Linked DNA regions of Rhinolophus ferrumequinum. The protein of the gene in region 1 purifies or fractionates together with the protein of each later gene. This does not show direct contact. Links are inferred from orthologs where the notes say so. Each region holds a gene or a part of one and is shown on either strand. Other genes may lie near its edges. The genes, in order: L3MBTL3 and SAMD13.

Region 1 (12,107 bases):
AAGGCGGGAAGAAAAGAGAAAGGTATAAATACCATGTTTCCCCGAAAATAAGACCTAGGCAGACAATCCGCTCTAAAGCGTCTTTTGGAGCAAAAATTAATATAAGACCCAGTCTACTATAATATAACACAATATATAATATAATATAATGTCTCATAATATAAGACCCAGTCTTATATTAATTTTGCTCTAAAAGACGCATTAGAGCTGATTTTCCAGCTAGGTCTTATTTTCGGGGAAACACGGTAGTAGAAAGCACTAGAGTGGCAAAATGTACTTCGATGCTCTACCCAAGTGAGGGCTGGCCCATCTCTTCTGCCTGAGAATGACCTCTGTCCTGAAAGCAGGTCCTGGATTACTGAGGAAAAATCAGCACCCTCCAAAACTGCCAAAGGGATCTGACTGGACAACAGCTGTACTCCCTGTGGAGATATGTTCAAAAATCAACAAGTCTATGGTAACACACTAAAAACTTACTGCAACCCTATGACATGATGTTTGGTGTAAGTCATCCCATGTTGGATTTAAGCCACAGGAGTTAAATTACTTAAATATGCCCAAAGTTCTTGCTGTCAACTTCACCTACAAACTTTTACCAAGTTCCAGAATCTTCCATATCACTGTGTACTTACACAACAATTATGTTAATTTACAATTGCTTTGTTCTAGTTTTCCCACTTTTTCAACTCCAAAGAATAAAATAATTTACTTTCAATAGAAAACAGCAATTGAAATACTCGTTAAGAATCCAGTAAGAGAGCCAGTCCAAAGATTATCCAGGGCACTCTCATAACTTTTCCCAATGTTTTATTCCAGCTTCAATCACAGTGTTAAGATTTTCATGCATGCAAAGCAACCCCCACAGAAGGATGGTTTTCTGCCATTCTCGCCCCACACTCTCCTTCCAGATCCCAATATGCAGCCTTTAACATTTGCAACTATATCAAGCAATTTGTTTCGACAAGCAAATCTTACCTAGTAGCAGTGAAGAAATAACTGTCTGGTGGTCTTTATGATTGTTGTCCGCCCCCAAGACTCCTCCTGAAAGTGTACTATTGATTTAAAGATAGGAAAAGTAAAATCAAAGCATTATCATAAAAATAGAAGCCTTCACGTCGACCATCCACAATTACAAAATTTAAATTTTGAATCATTAACATACTGCATAATTTCACAGTATCACCTAGTATATTAAAATAAAATAAACTAGTTCTGGATGAGGTGAAATGAATTTTACCATTCATATTATTCCCCATATCCTAAATTCACCCATTAAAGTCTCTCCCAGTGCAGGACAATTAAGGGAAGGTTACAGGGATCATTTGATTCAACTTACTCTCACTGCTTTTACCTTTAAAATTAATGTTACTTCACAGAACACACACTGGCAAAAGAATAGATATTATGTAATCAGTTTTTGTCCATATATTTAAGTATTTAAATCACAAATTATACAAAGTATTCAGAAATAATTTCTTGCCCAGTGAAACAAAATTACACTCTTAAAACTAAAAGGGACCATTTATTTTATGACTATATATAACTGTATGATAAAGATACTAAATACTAGCCTTAAATTATATTTACTAGAGAATAAAATGATCAGCTCATAGAAAAGATAAATTTCAACCAAAGGTCTTTTTCATTTTTTCAGTTTTAAACACATATTGTACTTTGTACTTTTACTAACATTCAAAATGAAATTATCCGCTTTCTCCTGATTAAAAGTTGATCAAATGTATAGACAACCATAAATAAGAAAAAAATAGATTTCTAATCCAGGGAGTGACGAAGCTCAAAGTCCAAAATAAAAGCAAAGTATTTTTCCCATATAAATAATAAGGAATGGAAGTTATAGGGTCTGGGTCTTTAGAATCAATTTGCTCCCCGATTTACTGAACATTCTATTTCTGATCAGCATCCTTTCACACAACATCTGGCTGCTAGCTCAGGTCCTCTAATTACTTCCACGTCTGAACGGACCACGTAGCTCCAAGTAAAGGCCAAACTTTGCTCTCGGCCTTCCGAACTTAAAGATGCGTTTAACCACTAGAGGTCTCCCCTTGGCCAGTTTTGCACGTTCGCTATTTTGCTGCACTTGAAACTTTCCGGAGAAATGCTCTACTCGAGTCAGTGTTTTTCTAAAAACTTGCGCAAAAATCCACGCGACCGAGCTAGCCAGTACGGAGACTCGCGGGCTCCCAAAATCAATAAAGATATCACAAACAACGCTCTAGTAAAAACAAAATTAAAAAATCGACGCACTCGCCCCGGCCACCCCCCTCCCCGTTCTTATTTCTCATCTGTTTCCCTTAACTTAAACTTAGAACAATTAAAAATCTATTTTTGTTTCTGTGCACTTTGAATGATCTCTAATGCATTTTTCTGGCGGTAGACCCGAGGTGGTTAAGGAGCGGGCCAAGGGATGCAGGGAGGGGGAAGGGCCGAGCTAACAGCGCCGAGGAAGTTGCATAAGGAAAGAGACTCCGTTTTTTGGGTCCCCTCAAAAAATCGGCGGGGAGGGGGAGGAAAAGGAAGCGGGGGGAGGGAGGGAAACCGAAGCGACGTTTACCTTCGTCTCCCCGTAGAAGGGTGGGGTGAGAGCCACGGTCTGAGCCACCCCGGAGGGCGACTTGTTACCCCCACCTTCCTCGGAGCGCAGACGGACAGATACCCCCACCCCTCCGCGGGGAAGGTGGGGAGGAGATCGTCCGCTTTTAAACTTTCTCTCACGGTCGCACTGTGGGCCGTGCTTTCACCAGAGGTGGGGGGGGAGGATTATAGGGCCTTTTTTTTTTTAAGGTAATTAAAGTTTTACCACCAGCACTAAAGTTGCGCCCTCCCCCAGCCCATGCCACCGTACCCCGCCCCCCGCCTCCAGGACTCACAAGTTTTCCTCCCTCTCCCCCCCCCACACCAGCTCGCCCGGCGCGCGGCGGATGCCGCGGCTCCTGCGCTTCCCGATCCCCACCCCCGTCGGCCTCTACTTCCCCCCGCCCGGCCGCCGCGGCGCGAGGACGGCCCGCCGGGCCCAGGACGCGAGTGTGCAAAACCCATTATTCCGGAATGGCACACGCACGCGGCTCCAGGCCGGCAACGGCCCCACCTCGGACCCCTCTTTGCCTCCCCAATATAAGGACGGCGTAAACAAGTTGCAGGAAAAGCAGCCCCGCGCCTGCCCCCCCCAACGCCGCCCAGGCGCGGCGGTCGCCGCCGCCCGCCGCTACCGCCGCCTCCCGACACACGCCCGCACCCGGGCCGGCGCGGCGCGGCAGGGCGCGGGGCAAACGCCGCGACGGCGCGGGCTCCCGGCCCGGCCCGCGGCCCGCGCCTTCCCCTGCGCGGACGGCCGCGGCGGGCCCGCGCCGCCTCGCTTCCCGAAGCACTTTCCTGCCTCGGGCAGAAATAAACCGGAGGGTTTATTTTTGTGCAACTTTCCCAAAATGGCGGAAATTGGAGCTGATCTATATGAAATTCTCACACAGTCGGTCGGGAAGGGGGAGGTGGCGAGGAAGAAAATGCAAACTCTCGGCCGCCGAGCCCCGCCGCGGGTCCGTGAGTGTGTGCGTGCGTGTGAGTGTGCGTGTGCGCGGTGGGAGTCGGGGAGGCCTTTCCGCCGTGCACACACAGCACACGCCGGGGAGACGCGCCTGCACATTCAACCAGTCCATTCTCCGCAGCCCAAGCGGGGAGAAAGTGGCCCGGCCTCTTTTCCCACTGCCTCGGTCTCCCGTACTTGTACTTCTCGCGCTCGCTCGCTCGCTCGCTCTCCGGTGCGCGCTCGGCACAAAGGCCACACGGGCGGAGGGGGCCGCAGGGGCGGCGCGCGGGGCTCGTGCCTCCCGCCGCACGGATCCGCGGCCCCAGCCGCCCCCGCGCCCCCCGCCGGCGCCCCCCGCCTCGGCGGCTGCGCTCGCCGCCCGAGCTGCGGCTCCGCGGCGCCCACTCGGGCACGCACCCTGGCGGAGCCCGGCGCCGCCGCGCTTCCCCCACCCCGCGCCCGGTGTCATGAAAGCGACCAAAGTGACAAGCTCGGGGGGGCGCGGGGGAGGGGGCCCACACGCATCCCGCCGCCTGCGCGCCGGCGAGAGCCCGACGCGGCCGCCTCGCCCCGGCTCCCTTCCGCACGGCCCCACACACCCTTCCCCGTGTGCGCGCAAAGAAAAAAATACAAGTCTCTCCTCCCCCCATTTTTTCCTTTCTCTTTTCTCTCTCTTTTGTTCCTCTTTCACACTCGCACTCACTACTTCAGAGTGAGATGCACAGAGACTCCCCCTCCAGCCATTTCCGAGTCACTTGCCCACTTTTCCCCCCAGGATTAAGTTTTCTCCTCTTTCCCAGAGGCGCAGAGAAGTGGGGGAGAAACCCCTTCTGTCCTTTCCCCTCCCCTGATCTGTTTCACAAGACGAGGGTGCGCTTCCTTCTCTCTATAGGTCTCTTAACTTTCATCCTCACACAGAAAAATAAATGAATGGCCTTTGCACGGACAAATCTTCAGATTAATTAGAGATTAGATCCGATCAAACGCTTCTTACCCCCAAAATTTCTCTTTTTTTTTTCTCCGTCTCACGAGTAGTCCTGACAAATGGTCCAGGGCTGCGGGCGCAGTGCGCATGTGCGCGTAGAGTCAGGGCTGGGGAGAGGGGAAACTGCGCTGGTGCCGGTGCCGCCGCCGCAGCCGCCGCCGCCGCCGCTGCCGGGGAGGCTCGCTCTGGCTTCCCTCTTACTGCTGCTGCGCCTTCGCCGCTGGAAAGCAGCAATAAAGCCGATTGGCAAATGCAGCTGCCCGCAGATACTGTTTCAGGTGCATCTTTTCAATATCCTTGTCACTGGCTCAGAGCTGGTTCAAGAACAGTCAAAACAAATCTGAAAGACAGCTAAGGTTATAGATTTCTTTGTCTATTTTTCACTTTACTTTTTTAAAAAGACAATTCTCAGAGCAGCTAATCCACCACGTACTGTTCAATGTATGCATTCAGCCATTAAAGAGTGGGCCTTAGTCTTATACAGACACTACCCAAAGGCTAAATGCATGCCACAGGTCATGAAAAATATGAAATAAAGTTTTAAGCTTTTACGCAGTAGAACCTCCCTCTCTGTAGGACTGGAAGAATGCATAATAAAGTATGCGTGTAAAATGCGTGTTCTTTCCGTTTCTTAAGTGTTGGTCTCTTTGACGGCTTTTAAACATGTTAGGCCTTTGTTATGAAGTACTAGTGTGTTGAGATCCGTACATCAACTTAGAAATCAGTGTTAAAGTACCTTGGCAATAAGCAAGTCGAAGACTGCCTTTTAATGTATTCAATCAAGATGGCTGAGCGGTCCTAAATAGCAAAATCTGCCTTTGTTAAGGCATCAAAACTAGATTAAGAGAGTACTGTATTTCGGTATTGACAACTTTCCATTTATTGACTGTAGGCCTCCTTTGGGCAGCTCACCATTCTCCTTTTTTCCTAGGTACAAGCACTTACAAAATAATTCAAACAATTGAAGTTATGATAACCATCTTAATGTCAATAACAGAGTTTGCTGTGCAAGAAATAAAGTAGCCTGTGTGATTTCAGGAATGATGGAACCAACTCTTACATTTTTGCAGCGGTGGGAAAGTAAGGCAGAGGCCCCAGTCCCTGAAACTGTACTATTTATTTTGTATCTAATAAAGAGTAAAGGAGGCCCTTATCTGCAATTGCTGCCTGAGGCCTAGAATTGAAATATATCACAGATGGAAATTCTGTATTAAAAATCCTTCTCCAAAATGTAAGTAATATTATTCTTGATTGAATTTTTTTCACTTAAGGAATGTTCCTTGAACCAGTTTCAGAAAATAAACTGTTAAATTCTTTCCTCAGGACCATGAAATTACCCTAGAGAAGCAGACCACCAGACTATTTCTTCTGTTGGTCTAATGAGGGAATTCTCCAAGTCAAAAATCAGGACATACGTGTATGGCTTGATATGTACTCAAGAACAAAGGAACAAACACTGTAAGGTTGAAATAAGCTTATAAAATATGCTTCATATGTTGGGAAGCCTTTGGCTTAGGGGTGAAGTGTGGAAGGCTGGGTTACTGAAAGCTATAGATAATCTCATACTGCAAGTTAACTATTCATTTCACCCACCACATCCAACCTTTTTCAGAGCTGCTCCCAAACAGCATTATTAATCTAAATTTCAGCTTCTCTCCTTTTCTCTCTAGTCCTTGAATAATGAGCACTGCAATGGCCAAAGGCCAACTACAGGAAGAGAAGGAAAGAAAGCCCACGAGCTATGTGCAAAACTAAGACCTTACCCCAAAAGAAACTAAAATTAATTTTAGATTCCTCTTTCTGAAAATCCATTTTAGATTCATTCTCTGTAGATAAGTTCTGGATGATATTTCTATTTCACATATATTTTCAGAGATGTTGGTTCAACAGTCTGTAAACCTATTAACGGCCTACCTTGTGCTAAGTGCTCTGCAGGGTGCTGGGGAAATAACACAAGATAAAAACTAAGCCCAAAAGAAGTTAGTCCGGCAAGAGAAACAGTCTAGTAAACTGGGCATTGCATTATAGTATGGTAAATACTGTAGTAGGGGTTTGCAGAGCAAGTACAACTGAGGAGCACCTATAGTAATAAGAAAAGGTTTTCTAAAAACAGTCATAGTTAAGCTGATTTGAAGGATAAGTGTCCAGGGTGTGTGCTTGCACCTTTCCTCTGGGAAGGTGATCCAATCAGAGAAATCCTGAGTAGAAGTCCAAGGGTTTGGAGAACAAGGCTTGCCTGGGGCCTATGCACTTACTGAAGTTCACTAACAAAAATCAGGAGGCTGTCTCTACATTGTCTTTCTCCTCAAGAGATCATCAATATAACCTCAAAGATTTCATCTCAGTAGTTGCCAAGATGTGGTTCAGAATAACAAATATTTTGAAGGTATTCATGTGTAAGAATAATAATGACTTTAAAGGCTGCTACCATTTTTCCTACAAAGAATCCTTTGGCGCCACCACTGTACACAGAGGCACAATGCAGTATTAGAATCTACATAGTACTGCGGTATTCTTCATTCGAACTGGTACTAGTCACATGACCTTTCTCCATCTGTTCCCTAAATGGTAGTATACTAGTGGAAGCATCTTTGCTTTCCTTCACCCTTCCACCATTCAGTCACTGGTTAGTAAGTCATGAATTCTTTCTTTCCGGCATCACTTAATCTCATCATTCTCTACCACTCTCCCCTCTTCCCATCCCCCCTGCTTTACCCTACCACACCTACAATACCAAATCCATCCTTCAGACCAGGTCTATAACTTCCCTGAAATTCTAAACTAAGGTCTTAGCTCACTCCTTTAGTTTCCTTTGTATTTATTTATTTCCAAACTCATTGCCCTCAAAGTAACTTCAGATTACTCCATTCCTAAATATTCGGAAGCTAAAATCATTTTCCATGGAAAATGTGTTAAAACAAATCTTCAGGGTTTCTAAGGCTTCTCACCACCTCCCAGATGAAGATCATTCAAAACCTCTCTCGCTGTACGCCATGCTGCAACCTTCACTCTGTCAACTTCCATTGAGAAACCAAAGCTCCCTTTTCCTAAAACTAAACTTGTTCTGCATTGATAGGACACGGAAAAACTCAAGGACAACCTCCTCCAGGAGCCAGCCCCTCACAAATGAAAAGTGCCCAGGAGTGAAGGCCAAGAAATTTTCATTCTAATCTGGTTCTGTCACCACCCACTGGGAACCATTACTGAGCTTATTTCCCTTTTCAGGGCTTCAATTCTCTCCTGAGTTCGATTAAGAAAACAGAGTAATTGATTTCTGAGGTCTCTTTGAAAACCATGTCCGTCCCCATACTTCCCACCTAACAGGACCACTATCACATTTTAGTACAAATAATGTGGAACCAAGAAAGGAATTTTAAGTAAGGAAGGAAAATCCATCCATCTGCTAGGTATCAAAATGTTATCAGTTTATAGCTCATTCAGTTGGTTTAAACCTGGTACTAATGAGATGAAGGTCATGGGTTCCATTCCCTAATGGCTAGTTAGTTTTGATGTGTTTTCATAGCTACAAACTTCTTTCCTAACCCCAGCCTCCCATGTTATAATGTGTGCAAGTTTTAAGGTAAAATTGAATCTTTCGTAGAAATTTCTAAATGAACAATATTTGAAATCAACCTTTAAATGTATTATCTTACTTTTAAATATGAGTCAAATTATTGATCTTTTTGGCCTACGTAATTGTGTGCTCCATGTTTTTCCAAGTATAAAAATGATGTTAACATTGATTTGGCCAAGATTCTTATTATTGATATTTGTAAGAGCTGAGTTTGATTTTCTTGTTAAGTGTTCTAGATAACACCAAAATGTTCATATAGGCACTCTAATTTGAATCCTGGTTATCTTTCTGTGATACATCTGCATACATTATGAGTACAGAGCTTGTGATAGTGAAATGTAATTGAAATGCTGAGGGTGAAAGGAAAAGGGTATATTATTCATCAGGTAAGGAAAGGATTATAATGTGTATCATGCTCTCAACATCTTAAGGAAATTAATACATAAAGAGCTTCTGGAGAGATGTGAATATTTATTATCATTTCGTTTACATGCAAAGGTAAAGATAGAAATATGACAGACATGTTCAAAGGTGTGGAATAATATGGGAATGTAAACTAACTCCTAAATTAAAAGGAAAAAGACAGGTTATAATTTTCCATAACATACGTACTCATTTAAAGCCCAAATCCAGAAGCCTTATAACTAAACAATGCTAGAGGCACAAGCCAGACTTGAGAAGATGTCTGTGACAACAGCCGCTGATACACTTAGATCCTGTTTAGAATGCTCTTTTCGTTTAACCTGGCCTCCTGGCCACAGCTGATTGGTCCAGGAGTGAGCATTTAATCCAATGACTGAATCGAGTAGCTAGAGGTGGACTATGAGTCAGCAGGGTATGCTTTCCCATATGACTGAAAATGATGAAATTGCACCAGTCATATTCTCACACTTGGCCATGTGAACTGGAAATACTGAAGATAAAGTCAGTTGATAGGCATTACAAAAACTAAACTATTCACAGACAGAAAAAGGTAGAGTGCAAGTTCATTAGCTATTAGGCATTACAAACTACCTAAGTAGAAATCATAAGGTAGAATAGAGCAGAAGTTAGCCAGCCACATAAAGGTAAAGGTGCCAGCGCTGCACTGGGCTCTGTATAACATCCTATTCCCAAATGACCTTCTTGTCTCGGAAAGGCCTGGCCCTTCCGTAGTCACCATGAAGACTCTCCGCATAACTAGAATGTCTGCCTTCACTAGTATCCCCATAACTCCCCATGCCTTCTAGAAAATTGAATCATTTTTTGAATTGAGTAGATAAAAGACCCCAAGCAACGGCAATGTGTTATGCCTTGTTCTTTTTAGCCTTACAAAATTAAAGGAGACCAAGTCAAAAAGTCAATGTAGTCAGTCCAGCACCCAACCACTTTGTTCTCATTACTGGAACATGTAGGCCAGATGGCGAGGATCAAATCTCAGTTCCACTAATTGCTAATGTGTGATTTGGTGAACCTCTCTTGCCTCAGTTTCTATATCTGTAAAATGGGGATATTAACAATACCTAGCTCATGGGGCTGTTTTGAGGATATAATGGGTTAATGCAAGACTCATCCTTGGTACATGGTTAGTAATCGATAAATGTTAGCTTGTGAGTAAGAATTTTTGCCTGTTTTGCTCCCTGCAGTATTCCTAGCACCCAGAATTTTACTGGCACATAGTTAAGTATGCAATAAATATTTATTGAATGACAAGGAAATATTAGTATGTGAATTATTACATCCGCTCTTTTACTTGCCCCTTTCCCGCTGGTTACTAGACCATAGGTATCATGTCACAGGCATACTCATGGGCGACATTCTCCTAAAAGTTCCTAAAAGCATGTAAACAGAGAGTGCTAATGGAATTCATAGGCCCTATTTCAAAGGAGCCTGCTGTTCAGAATATATTATCTTTATTTAGCATTTATATTACACTTTTACAACTTCAAAGCCCTTTTCAGTTTTTTAACTAAATATTTGTTATAACATTCCTACATTATCTTTCATAAGGGAGGTAACTGAGGCATGGTTTCAGTGGTTAATACCTATATCTGGAATTGAATTCGTCACGTAAATTCTGTAAGTGTAACTATATAAAAAAAAAATCTGGAACATTACTTTGTTCATGTAGAATGCCGAATGGAATGTCAGTATTTGAAAAGACAATCTGTTACTTTAAATTATACTAGCTATGCCTTTCACTGGGTTTTATTTCAGAAACTAGACTCAATAGAAAGGTTTCCAAAGTGAGCTTTCTCAATGGGTTTGAAGTCTTTCACGAATAAAAGTTAAGTTAATAAAAGTTAATAAAATTTTTAAATTCAGTATTAAAACATTTCACCATATCTCAGTAATTTCCCAATATTTTTCTATGAAAACTTCGAGACAGTTCTTTCCTAGTGTCCCTAATTTGGGAGCTTCTGTATGTATACTATCAAAATTTGTAGACAGAGAAGAATAAAATGGGGAAAACACTGATGAAATCAGTCAAGAGCAATCTAGCTTTCAGGTCTATAAAAGGACTGAAGAGATTTGCGAAAACCCAAATCTAATCAGGTGTCTGTGGAGTTTCAAGAAAGTCTGAAAATGTATTAGACTGAAAAGATAAACTGAGTTTTAGTCACTAGTCCAGCTGATTGTCTTCACTACAGTTAAAACAATCCTAACTCAGAGGAGCCCTCACTAAACTGAATAATCTATTCATTTGACTCTAGTTGAACTCCTCTTCCACAGTCCAACCAGCTGTTTGCTGATCTCAAAACCAGATTCCACTCCAGGTTTCCTCTATCCCAGTGCAAGCTCCTTCAAGTCTTCCCTTCAACTTGCAAGTCTCTCTCTTTTCCTCTCCCATCTCCAGGGGAAAATATCTCTACCTCTTCCCCATGCTGTTCCCCTAAATGTGATTTTTGACCACATCCTCTCTCGATTCCTCCACGAATGTTCCATATTCTCCCAATATTTACAGTCCATTATTCTCCACTGGCTTTTCCACAGCCAAAAAGCATGGCTCATATCTTTCCCGTTTTAAAAAAAGAAACCTTTTGTCAATTCTACATCCTTTCAAATTCTGTACCATAATTTCTCCTTTCCTTTGGTGCCCCATTTCCTGAACAAGTAGTTTACACTCATTTTTTTTTTTTTTATATATCCCTACATCCTATTCATTCTTCCATCCACAGAGGTTGCTGTATATGCTTTCCTCTCTGTATGGTCTCCAGTGATATCCTAATGTCACTGGAGTGGAATGTCAAATCTAGTGGCCACAGTCCACTTCCTAGGTAAGGTTCTAGAAGTATTTGACAGTGTTGACTAATCTCTTCTTTGAAACTGGTTTTTCATGCATCTTCTTTGTCAATTCACTGTTGTGGTTATTCTCTTGTCCCTCAGACCTAGTCCCAGTTTCTCCTTCCACCTGATAAACCTGAGTGCTTTTAGAATCAAAATATGACCTTCTCGCCTGTCTTTAGATTTCCTCCTGAGTGAACCCATGGACTCTCTTAGCATCATTTGAACTCGTCTTTGTGTAAAGAACTCCTGGGATATTTTTATCCATGAGCACTCTACAGAGCTTCAGACTTTCTATGTTGAGGGATGAATCCACACAGATAGCCTATGTATTTGAAAATAATGGAATGGTGTAGTGGTGTAAAAAATTAAAAATAAAAAAAGTTTGCACTTTGGAGTCGGATCTGGTTAGCGTCCCAATTCCACCACTTAAATAGATATGAGTAACATAATCTACTTCCACTGAGTTTCCTCTTATGTACAATAACCCCTGCTTCCCTGGGCCATTATCAAGATTAAATGAGAAAATGCCGGGAAGGTGCCTAACACATAAGAGCTTATTAATAGGTAGTAACTATTGTTCTTGCCTGTTTCTTTTTCCTTCTGCATTCCTCATCTCAGTGTATAATGCCACCCGTGCTCTCAGCCAGTGATTTCACTACAACTTCCTCTTCCTGCCACCCACATCCAGTAGGGCAACAGATCTTATTGATTGTTCCTCTGGAACATTTGTCCTGTACTCC
Region 2 (11,470 bases), on another chromosome or scaffold:
TTTGAAAGAATCAAGCATGTAATTCACAACAAATATAATCAGAAGTTTCAAATGTGAGAACAGACATTAAAATAGAACACTACAGTATATACTGAAATGTTTCACATTCAAAGAAAAGTTCATAAAATTTGGACAGAGAAGTTGTTAAAACTGAGTATTTTCACTGAAGCTTTTTTTCTTCCCTTAATATAGCTCTGTTTTGAGAGAGGTGATTTTATTTCAAAAGACTTGCACAGTATTTTCTGGCCCCACCCTTGCTTGCAGCCTATGGGCTTGGAAGGCAGGTTTGCTCCACGTTTTTGTTTCCATATACAGAATGCAGGGCAGAAATCCTCAACTGTCACTGTTCCAAAGCCTGGTATACTAACCCCTTTATGCACAGTTTGATGTCTGAGTCATCTTTGTCTTAGAAATAGATTATAGAAAAAGGAAACTGGGGTCGGGGGGAGAAGGCAGGCTGCTGACCAGTGTAGACCAACCAAGGCAAGTCCCAAACAGTGTCTTGTACTAGATTAGCAAGAAGTATAAATATAGAAACCAAGTCCCTCTGTTGTTTGCAGAAGCAGAACTCACAAGCCAGTTTCACTTACTTTTTTACACCGACAGAGCCATTTTCCTTGTTTTCCATGTCAACAGATAGCATGGGAAGGCTGCAGGGTTCCTTTACTTCAGCAACTAATCAATAAGGGAGAAAAGCTTGTGTTTAATTCTTAGAAAGTGAGAGAAGAATATATATTCTGAATCGGAAACATAATGGTTCCTTTCACAGCTTCACACCAGTTCACGTATGTTTGTTTAAATCTCCAGTTCCCTCAGCGATTGGAGAGATGTGATTAACCTAAAGAACTAGAGGAGACGGGTTGGGGTGCTTTCATCTGTACTGGCACTCCCTGCCTTGACAATGAGCATTTGCAAATGAAATTGAATCCTTGTTCAAAACAAGTGCTGTGTGAACTGGCACAGCTTCCTCTGGGTGCCAAGCTCTCACTTAAGACACTGCAACTCATAAATGAGTCAAAGTCGAGAAAAACAATCCCCCTTTTCCTGCCCTTTCCCACCAAGGGCTGTGATTTTTTTTTCTTATTGCATATTTTTTGGTCCACTCCCACCCCCACTCTTTCTATATTTTTTTTCGTTGCAATGCAAAAGAGCACTTAAAGCTTTTGTCAGCAAGTATCCCCCTTCCTCACATACTCTCAGCGAAAGCCTCAGAAACCTGTGATATGGCCATACCGTTGGTAAAACTGAAGCTCACAAACATGTCAGAGAGCCCTTAGCATAGAAAGGGTGTGTGTGTGTGTGTGTGTGTGTGTGTGTGTAAGAGAGGTTAGGCAGCTAATTAGATTTATGTAAAAATCACCACATCATTCAAGGAAAATAACATCCATCACTTTAGCATCCATCACTTTAGTCTTTTTGTTTAGTAGGATGAGGGCTGTGAAAAAAATAAAAAACCTTCCACAATTAATATGCAATTAGCAAGCTGAAAAAGCTATGAACAAACTGCTTAAAAAAAAAAAAAAACTAGTTCTGAAACGTGCTTGTTCTTCTACAGCTGAAGCCATAAATTAAATACATTTCCTCTCAAATCACTTTATACTTCGGCACTCCTTCTCTAGGGATTACTCTGACATGACAAGTACATCATTAAGTATATTCACAAGATTTTATCACTGTTAGAGAAGTAGATGATTAACAAATAATGCTGTAGTGGGATAATCTTCACTCCTGATACACTGGTACACACACGCATACACACAAACTTCCAGTTGCTAAACCACTTAGATCATTCATAGAGAAATCCAACATTGCATATACATATAGATATTAACATACATTCACACACCGTAACACAGTAGACAGAAGACAGTGCTGCTGCTCCATGCCAAAAGAATGATTTCACTTCAGTTGGAAACTGTTACATATTCACCATTTTCTAAGCATCTCAGAAAACAAAACAAAACAAAACACAATGATATTCTGTAACACCACACTACATTGTCTTATTATTATTATTATTCTTTTCTTTTTTGTGGAAGAGTAAAAAAAAAAAACCTACCTAGAAGCAACTAAAACATGTCATTTTTTATAGGCTTATCAAGAACAGCCAAAGAAACCCCAATGTTTTCTTTCACAAAGTAGGCTGGCAAAGGAATTCAATAAGGAGGTACAATTTGACACAGTGAAATAAAACCAGGCTGGCTCTCAGCCAACATGACGTTAGGAATCACACACAAGCTGCACCAACTGCCTTCTGGTTCATGGCTGACTTTTTAAAGCTACAGTGTGCCTGTTCACTTTTGCTAACTACCTTCAGCACAATTAGTGGAAGTGAATGAATCACGAGTCCAAAAACTGCAGAATTCTCCCTGCACCTGTCTTGCACAAAGAAAAACGAGCTGTATCTACAGCTTGTTTTCTCCCTCCCCTTCATTGTTGCTACATGATAAGTCTTTGCTGTGGTTCTAAACATGAATGTCATGTTTCAAACTATTTCTTTTTCATCTCTGTGGGAGAAAAAAAATAAGAGGCAATAAGAGAAAGACCCAGTACTTATGGCAATAGCCAGTGAACGCGCAGAAGCTGCAGTCCTGTGTTACTCTTTCTTCCTAATAGACTTGTGGACAAAGTTCTCATGGCTGACTTTTAAGTAATCTCTTTGTGAGGATAAGGAAAGTACTGCCCAGCAGAAAATCCTTTTACTTTATTATACAGGAAGTAACATATTTCAGAGAGGATGCAAAGTAGATGACCAGATCTCCTGAGAACGCCCACATTCTTTTATTTTGGCATTCATCCTCCCAGATGAAGTCAGCAAAAACTCAAAATGAAACGAGCCTTATTCTATAAAACAATTAGTTCTGCCAGGTTTAATTTTAACTGTTTATCCCAGTTGCACAATAAATTCAACTAACATATTATCTATGAGTAACTGGTACTCTATTAGTTGCATATGCAAAACAAGATATTCTGTCACCCCTCAAATTCACAGTATCTCCCACCACCACCACCCTAAATCCCAATTCAGGAAACTGGGAGGTGGAATAGAGAGACTGGACATGATCTTTTCATTGTTAGCCTGGTCAATTTCACAGTTCTCTTGCGTGGCTGGGAAACATTCTGATTCCACAAACACGCTGCAGATGTACAGGAAATATACGTACATAGTTGTCATTGAAATAAACACCAATCAATATTTGAACACTTTTAGGCCAAGGTGTAAACAAAACCACTCAAGATAAGGCAGATAATACAGGTTCCCAGGAAGGATCCCAGAAAAAGTTATCTGCTGCTATAATATTGTATAGATTTCAGGCAGAATTGAGAAGAAAGCTGCTGGCCTCCCTTTTCTTTAGTAGTTTTTAAGGGCACTAGAAAACCAGCAACCATGACCAAACTTTGCAACCTGAATTTCAGTCAAAAATTTTTTTCTTACTTATTCCAGGAATATCAGAAAAATGTCAACTTCTTGAGATTATCACTGAGAAAGATTTGAAGTAATCTCTCTGTCCACCTTTGCCATTACACCCTTGACAAAGCAAACAATTATTTAGGGATAAATTCTAAATGTTTATATATTTTTGAGCACCATTTATTGAGCATGGGTCCAACAGGTGGGTCTTTTACCAGCACTGATCAAACCGACAAGAGAACTCTTTTACCAACAGATTTTATAATGCTTTTGGAATTGATCTGAAATTCCTGAATTGTTCTCCAACTAAGTTCAAATGGAAGAGGGCTGGGCTGTTTGAATCCTGGGGGGCAAGGAAGGTGTCCTGACGGTACTGCCATGCCTCTGCTCAGAATAAAATCAGGTTCAGCTCCCTACTCTTGAAAGGAAAGAGTAGAAAACGCAGTTACACTCAACTCTTCCTTAGACACACTCATAGGAGGAAGGATTCTGTGATGATTCTTCCAGGATTTCTTCTTACATATAGAAAAGGACATCCCCTCCTGTCTTGCCTGCTGTGACCAAACGTTTGCCTGTTAGACAAGGGTAAGGGTTTCTGAAGGTGTAGAAAATCAATCCCATTTTGTAAAAAAATGAGCCACAAAGGCATTTTAAATTCTGACACCAGATTGCACTTATCAGCTAGTTTTTAACTTTGGAATAAATTGACATTTGTGAGTATAAGCATATATACTAGTACTCAATCAGTTCCTCCTCACTCCATTCAACCAACTGTTTGATATTCACCCTCTTCTCTGCTAATACAAATGTGTTTGTAGCGTGTAGCATAAATGAAATGTGTGTGCAATGTACATGTGTGATGACTGTAATATGTGTGCTATGTGTAATATATGTGGGTGTTGTGTGTGCGTGTAGTGTGCGCAATGTGTGTGTGAGTGTATGTGGAGAGAGAGAAAGAGATGCAAACAAACAAGACCTTTTGATCCAGGCTATTATGGAATGGGCTAAAATACCTTCATTGATCCTCGTGTTGGGATTCTGGAGCAGAACTTTCGGCCACACTTGGGAATGGGCTCAGATAGGGGGAAGGGAGGTGGATCAGGACGGAAGGGAACTGGTGCCTCCATTAGGCTTCCTTTATTGCTCAGCACTCATCCCCCAGAGACAGAGGACTTGTTCTGGGAGGCAGCACCCTCCCAAAAGAACCACCGGCTCCTGCCTCTGGTCTGGGGGCAGGGGGCGGGGGGAGGGAATCAGCCCTCAAGTGTCCAGCCCGCAGGGCAGAGGGCACACGTGGGGTCTTTTTCTCTGCAGAAGAAATTTCGAGAAGTCACCCGAGGGCAGGGTAGAGCTCAATGGGTCCCCAAGGGTGTCTCAAGGGAAAGTGAGGAGCGACCTGGAGAGGGGGGCACTTGGGGCAGGGCAGAGGGTAGGTGAGGGGACACCAGGAAGTGTCTTGGACCAGAAGCGGCCGAAAGCCAAACCACTCGCTTGAGGCACCGGCGACAGAGGGAAAAGTTTACGGCCAAGACTTTCAAGAAGAAACGGTTGGTCTTTGAGTTTGAGGGCTCCGCGGGGCAGCCTATCTTTGAAAAGGGAGTGTGGGGGTGTGGCGCGCTGTGCGCCCCGCCGAGCGGTGCCTTCACCAGGTTCCATCCTGCGTGCGAGCTCGGCGCCACAGCCCCTCGCAAGCCCCAGCTCTCCACGGGGCCAGGCACGCTTCTGTCCCCAGTTCCACTCCAGAGTGACAGATTCCACGCTCGTGGGTGCAACAAGCTGCGGAGTACCGGACACACTGCAGAGACGAGGGAGGGCAAGGCGCTTTTTATTGTGGTCTGCTTCGCTTCCTTTCATCCTGGATTGGGGAGAGGGCGGGCGCGTACCCAGTGCCCTGGCAGCATGAGTGGATCACTTACCTCCCCGCATGGCCAGCACCGGGAGGCTTTCCTCCCGCACAGAACTCCGCAGCCGCCACACGCCCAGCCCCAGTGCAACCGGGCGGGTGCGCCGGGCATGCCGGGATTTGTAGTCCTCAGCGGGCCGTTGGGCGGGCAGGGGCGAGGGTACCGTAGCTGGGGCCACCAGGAATGGGGGAGGCCAGGAAGAGACAAGGGCCTTATGAATGTAAGGGAGAACATTTTTAAGAACTTAAAACCTCCAGACAGCTGTGAAGAAGAGGACACTTCCAGAGAGATCTTAAAATTGGTGGTTTTCAGGCTAATACAATGTCTTACTCGCTGAATCCTGGTGAAATTTTAAGACGGGTTTTGGCACTAATGACAAAGGCCAAGTTCGTATTACTTAGGACCTTATTTTCCCTTCACCCCAAACATACACGTGGCATTCTCTGCTTGGAACGCCTATTCTGTTGTTCACAGAATAACTCAGTTGAAGCCCTTAATATACAAAGGGAGGGTGAATAATTGCATCTTACATTTGTAGCGCACTCTACAGTTTACAAAGCACTTTTTACTTAATTGGTTCATTATATTAGAACCATAAAGCAACACTGAATTAGGCAGAGAAAAAATCAAGGTGCAAGAAGTTTTTTTGTCTTCACACCTACCAAGGTTGGAGCTACTCCACACTCTTCACTTCCTTCCTCAACCCTATTTTAGCAGCTGGGAAGAGAGATGGAGAGAAGGAGAGCTGTGAACAGACGTGGTGGACACAGTGAAAGAAGAGGAGTCTGCTATGAAGGACTTGCTTGAAATAGCTGATGAATAAGTCCTTAGTAAATACCGAGATAAGTAAAACCAAAAGAAGAGCCTATAGACTGGAAGAATGCAGTGGGAAGGAAAAGGAAGGTGGGATAGGGATAGAGACTGAATAGAAGGTTTTGATTAGGCGATATGAAAACGTGTATATCTATTATATATATAATTTTATATATAACACAAACAGAAATTTTAGAAGTCAAAAAGACTGGGAATCCTGCTGTCACTCGGAGCTAGCCCTGTAACTTTTAGGTTAAGTTGTTTAACTTTCCCAAACCTCTTTTGCCTCATCTTTAAGATTTAAATGGTAATAGTTCCTACTTTGTAATTTGGCTGTGCAGATTAAAAGAGATGGAATACACTTAGTATAGTGTAATTATTATTATTTATTATTAATTAAATAAATAAAATTTCAATAATATTATTAATATTATAATATAATAAATATTATCTATACTCTTATTATATGCCAGGCACCATACTAAGTAGAAATAATATTATTTATAAATACTCGTATTACCTGCAGAAACTCTTTTATGGAAGCATCAAACGATAAATCTGAGTAGAAGTACCAGTTAGGAGGCTGTGACAAAATTCTAAGTTACAGGTAATGATGGCTTGAACTACAGAGGTAAAAAAGAAGCAGCTGTGAGAGACTTCAGAGGGAAAATGGACAGAACAGTGCAATCAATTGGATGTGAGGAATGTGTAATAGGAAATCAAAGATGGTTGTCGTTTCTAGATTAAGTGTATGATGTTGTCATTCACATAAATAGGTACAACTGATGGAATAACAGGTTTTGGAGGAAGATGACTAGTTTGATTTTGAACATGTATAACTCAAGGCTTTCTGTGTATGACTGACAAAGTGGCAATTAGAAATGTGCATTTGGATATCATGTAGAATGGAACTTGGAGAATCAATTTTTTAGGAGAGGTAGTTGAAGATCATGTGAAAAGGAAAAAGGAAGGGCAGCAGAGGTGGGCCGGGGGAGGTAAGGAATTGGGGAAAGGGAAAGGGAAAGCTGCAAGAGTGCAGTGACATGGAAGCCAAGGGAGTGAGGATGAGCTCATCAATACGTCCAAATCCACAGGGGGGTTGCCAATTACAACAGAGAAAAGGCTAATGGATTTACAGATCAAGAGTCTATTGGAGTGGAACTATCTCCAGGAGTTGTTTTGAAAAGTTACCAGAGTAATTTTACTTGTCCCAGTGACAACAGAAAGAGGACTACTAGAATGTCATTGGTCAACCAAAGATGCTAAACATCTTGCAATGCCCAGGACAGTCCTGCACAGCAAAGAATTGTCCTGCATCCTGTGTGACTTGACTATCCCACAGCTCTTTCATGTAGATGAAAAAAAAAAAACTGTTTATGTTTACCTGAGCCTAGAATCCACTTTATATATAAGTATAAAATGTTTTTTCACAGAGTTTAAAATATATTAAATTTTTCTGGAATGCAGTAAATGGAATGGCAATACTATTCCTGGAATTTGAATCAATACAGTCCATTTTGGTGGCTGTCCATTTCATGGCGATTCTGCAGTTGGATGCGAGCATCTTACTACTTCGTTGTGAGTTTTAGTTTAGGGATGCCTGAGCAGTTCCATGTTGAATCACATACTACCTTTCCCTTTATGTTACACTTAGAGCATAGCTTTGAATCTTTTTAATGACATGCGTAGGTACCTTATGACTTTCCCCTTACCATATTAAACAGGATGTTATCCCACATTTGTTATTAAAAGGGGCAGTGGGTTTGACAATGCTGAGAACCATTATTCAGTCAGTCAACAAATATCTTTTGAGTGTTCACTATGTGCTAGATACCATTCTAGATACTTGAGATATATCAACTAATAAAACCGAGGAAGTTTACTGCCCTTATACAGCTTGCAGCCTATCTAATGTGAATGTGGGGCAGACAGACAATAAATCATAAAAATAAACAAATAAGTCAATTCTATGGTATCTTAGAAAGTTATAAGTATTATGAAAAATAAAGCAGGATAAAGGAGACTGGAAATGCAGGAGGCAGTGTAGGTTGAAATGTTAAATACAGTGATCAGGGTAAATTTTATTGAGAAGGTGACATTCAAGAAAAGATCTGGGGTTGGTAAGAGAATTGCCTTGTGGGTTTCTGAGAGAAGAACATTCCAGAAAGAGAGAACAGTTAGGTATAGGCCACACAGTGACTGTGTGCCTGGAGTTTTTAAGAAACAGCAAGGGTCCCGATGTGGCTGGATTGGAGAGTAGAGAGGGAGAAGCAGGAGGACTGGAGGATAACCACTGGGTTGGAACAAGTCTTGTAGGGCTTGTAGGGTATTCATTACAAGGACTTCGGCTTTCATCCCAAATGAAATGGGCAGCTGCTGGACAGTTCTGAGCAGAGAACTGACAAGGTCAAGCATATTTTTAAAGGATTATTCTGACTGCTCTATCCATTATGAATCACAGAGAGCAATGGTGGAAGCAAATAGCTGAGAAGCTATTGCGGTAATCCAGGTGAGAAGTAATAGTAGCTTGGACTAGAGTGGTAGCAATGAAGAGTGATGTGGAAGAAGAATCACGAATTCAAAGGGCACAGTGGAGAAGTTTCAGGGGTTGGAAAGGGCAGCAGGATGGAGAAAGATCAGGGGATATTCAAAGCCTTGTGGGAATGAGACTTCGGGAGAGACTAGGGAGTTTGGAACTTCTTGTGGGAACTGACATAAACAGAGATAAAGGGGATAATAAAACCAGTCCCAGAGGAGTGAAGGAATACAATGGTCGGGATGTTGTTTGTGTGGGGAGTAGGGAAGAGTATTTGGGTTCCCTGACTCAGAGGTTTGAGAATGGACGTTGACAAAGAGGTTTGAGAATCAGGTGGACTCTTAATCCATGTTGGTGGAATGTTGAAGGTCTGGGGAAGGGAGGACTCAGTCCCAGGGTAATTCTCATCCAGGACTCCTGCCAGGAGGGGGGCCTGCTAGTTCAGAGTGCAGTCTTCTCCTCCTCTGCCCTTGATCCTTTTCATGGATTTAACCCTTTGATGGAGTTGAGGATTTGGTCACAAGCTAGTAATTACTCTAAGAACAAAGGTCCATAAACAATATTGATTCAATAAAATGTATGTCTAGAAGATGTGGATTTGTAAGTGTGGAAGTGGAGTGTGCAGTAGAGAATTTTAGCAAAGAAGGGCAGGAGGAAGCTGGGCCCTTAAGGTGAAGGGATGATCTCTGACTGGGGACAGGAGACAACTGTGTTTGTAAGGTGACATGAAGAAGCCATTAGAAGCAGAAACATGAGAATTTTGAACAGAGGATAATTGATGGAATAACATTCTAGAGAAGGTGGAACTATGAACTAACTGTTTTTTTCTTGGAAGGAAGATGGAATAGTTTTTTTCTGTCAGAAAGGAAAGAAAGACAATGGAATGATTCAAGAAAATTCTAAAGCGTTAAGGAGATGCAACATTTAAAGATCTTACTTATTTATTATGGAAACAAATTGAATATGTGGTAAAAGTTAAAGCAATCAGAAAAAAATACCAGAAAGTGAAAGTTTCCAATAGATCCATTTTTAGAGTTGTTCTTTTTAAATATTTAGTATATATTGTCCCGTTTTTTTCCCTGTACATATGATTTCTTTTTGTAGATGTTACATGAATACTAAAATATTAGGGTTTTTTTTCCTTGTAAGATATAAAATTCGTATAATAAGTACATATTGAGCGTCTATTAGACAGTAGATATTATCATCAATCTTTTTGATCATATTATTCACATCTTGCATATTCATATATATTTTTTCTCTTGATTTTTCAAGAATTGAAAAAAATTTACTAAACTTTCCTAACATTGTTTTTCCTCTTATTTCTTGAAGTTTTGCTTTATGTGTTTTGATGCTGCATTATTTGATACATGAAAATTCAAACTGGCAATAACTTTATAGTAAATAGTATCCTTTGCCATGATAAAGTGACTCCCTTTGTCCCATTGAATCATTTGTTAAAAATAGTTAATTCTATCCCACTTGAAATTATTTTAAGTAGATATGTTTAGTCTCATCTGTTATGTCTGTTTACATTTTGAATCCTTATTGTTCATTTTCTCTTTTGCTTTATGATGTTTTCTTTGTTTTTGTTTGGTTTTTATTATTTTTATCTTCCTCTGTGTATCAGTTATCTATTGCTGTGTAAATATCTACCCCAACACATAGCAACTTAAAACAACACACACTTTCTTATCTTGCACTTTCTGTTGGTCAGGAATCCTGGCATGGCTTAGCCGAGTCCTCTGCCTCAGGGTGTTCACAGGCTGCAGTCAAGATTGGACTGGGCTCCCTTCTTAGCTGAAGGCTCAGCTTGGGGGGAGGATCTGCTTTCAAGCTCACCCCTGTGGTTGTTGGCAGGATTTAGTTCCTCATGGGCCCTTGAAAGCCTCAATTTCTTGCACATGGGCGTCTTCATAGGGCAACTCACAACTTGATCAAAGTAGGCATGTGAGAAGAGTCAGAGAAACAAAGTGAGCAAAACAGAAGTCATAGTCATAGTCTTTGATTGCCTAATTTTAGAAGTGAAATCCATCATTTTGCCACATTCTCTTTGATAGAGGCAAGTCCTATGTCCAGCCTACTCACAAGGGCGTGAATTCCAGGAGGTAAGGACCATTGGGAGCCACTTCAGAAGGCCGCCACCACACTCTGTCTGCCAATCTGGACACTGTAAAGTGTATTCAATAATATGTTTACATTTATATTTCTCAATTTACCTTAGAAATGAAATGATGAAAGATGAAATTAATCTACTTAAGACTATCTTCTTTTCTCCTCACCTTTCTATTAGTTTTGAGAGCAACTATGATTCATGTTCCAGTCTATTACCATCAAAATATTATTCTTTATATTATGTAATTTTCATTTAGGCATTACAACAATTATGTATTTCATTTTCATGACTTAGAATACCACTTATTTAAATATAATTTTATGTATGAATAGATTCAAAGCTCATTGCCAAACCTTTTGTACATCATGACTTTTTCATTCGTGAATTCATTATTGTTACTCATCTGCTCATTGTCTTGAATTTTTTTCCTGATCAAATTTGAAAACTGCATAAATGTTATGTTTCTTGAGTTGCATATTTGAGAATTTCTTTCTCTTACCAGTATTCATGAAAGATGGTTAGACCAGGTATAGAATTTTTCCCCTCTTCAATATTCATTAACCACTGTTCCATTTTCTTCTAGCATCTAACATTGCTTGGAATATGTCCAATTTCTTTGCTTTTGAAGATGTCCTTTTACCCTCTGCTTAGATGACTATAGAATTTTTTTTCAATCCTTAAAGTTCTAG

What was found.
Region 2: the proteins of L3MBTL3 (region 1) and SAMD13 purify together in Homo sapiens (affinity purification with mass spectrometry; 3 studies listed by BioGRID and IntAct, counting the BioPlex papers as one, with this or other methods). This does not show direct contact. The link is inferred for Rhinolophus ferrumequinum from reciprocal best matches to the Homo sapiens genes L3MBTL3 and SAMD13.

What each region holds. Positions count from the first base shown.
Region 1 is NC_046286.1:77,797,893-77,809,999, reverse strand, and holds the start of L3MBTL3 (lethal(3)malignant brain tumor-like protein 3), read right to left. Parts: upstream 4,643-12,107; 5' UTR 4,536-4,642; intron 3,861-4,535; exon of another isoform or gene 3,737-3,860; intron 3,681-3,736; exon of another isoform or gene 3,482-3,680; intron 2,825-3,481; exon of another isoform or gene 2,573-2,824; intron 1,371-2,572; exon of another isoform or gene 1,352-1,370; intron 1,053-1,351; 5' UTR 976-1,052; intron 1-975. UniProt on the Homo sapiens protein: Is a negative regulator of Notch target genes expression, required for RBPJ-mediated transcriptional repression. It recruits KDM1A to Notch-responsive elements and promotes KDM1A-mediated H3K4me demethylation.
Region 2 is NC_046292.1:63,239,951-63,251,420, reverse strand, and holds the start of SAMD13 (sterile alpha motif domain-containing protein 13), read right to left. Parts: upstream 5,519-11,470; 5' UTR 5,339-5,518; coding exon 5,329-5,338; intron 2,178-5,328; exon of another isoform or gene 2,060-2,177; intron 1,974-2,059; exon of another isoform or gene 1,837-1,973; intron 676-1,836; coding exon 591-675; intron 1-590.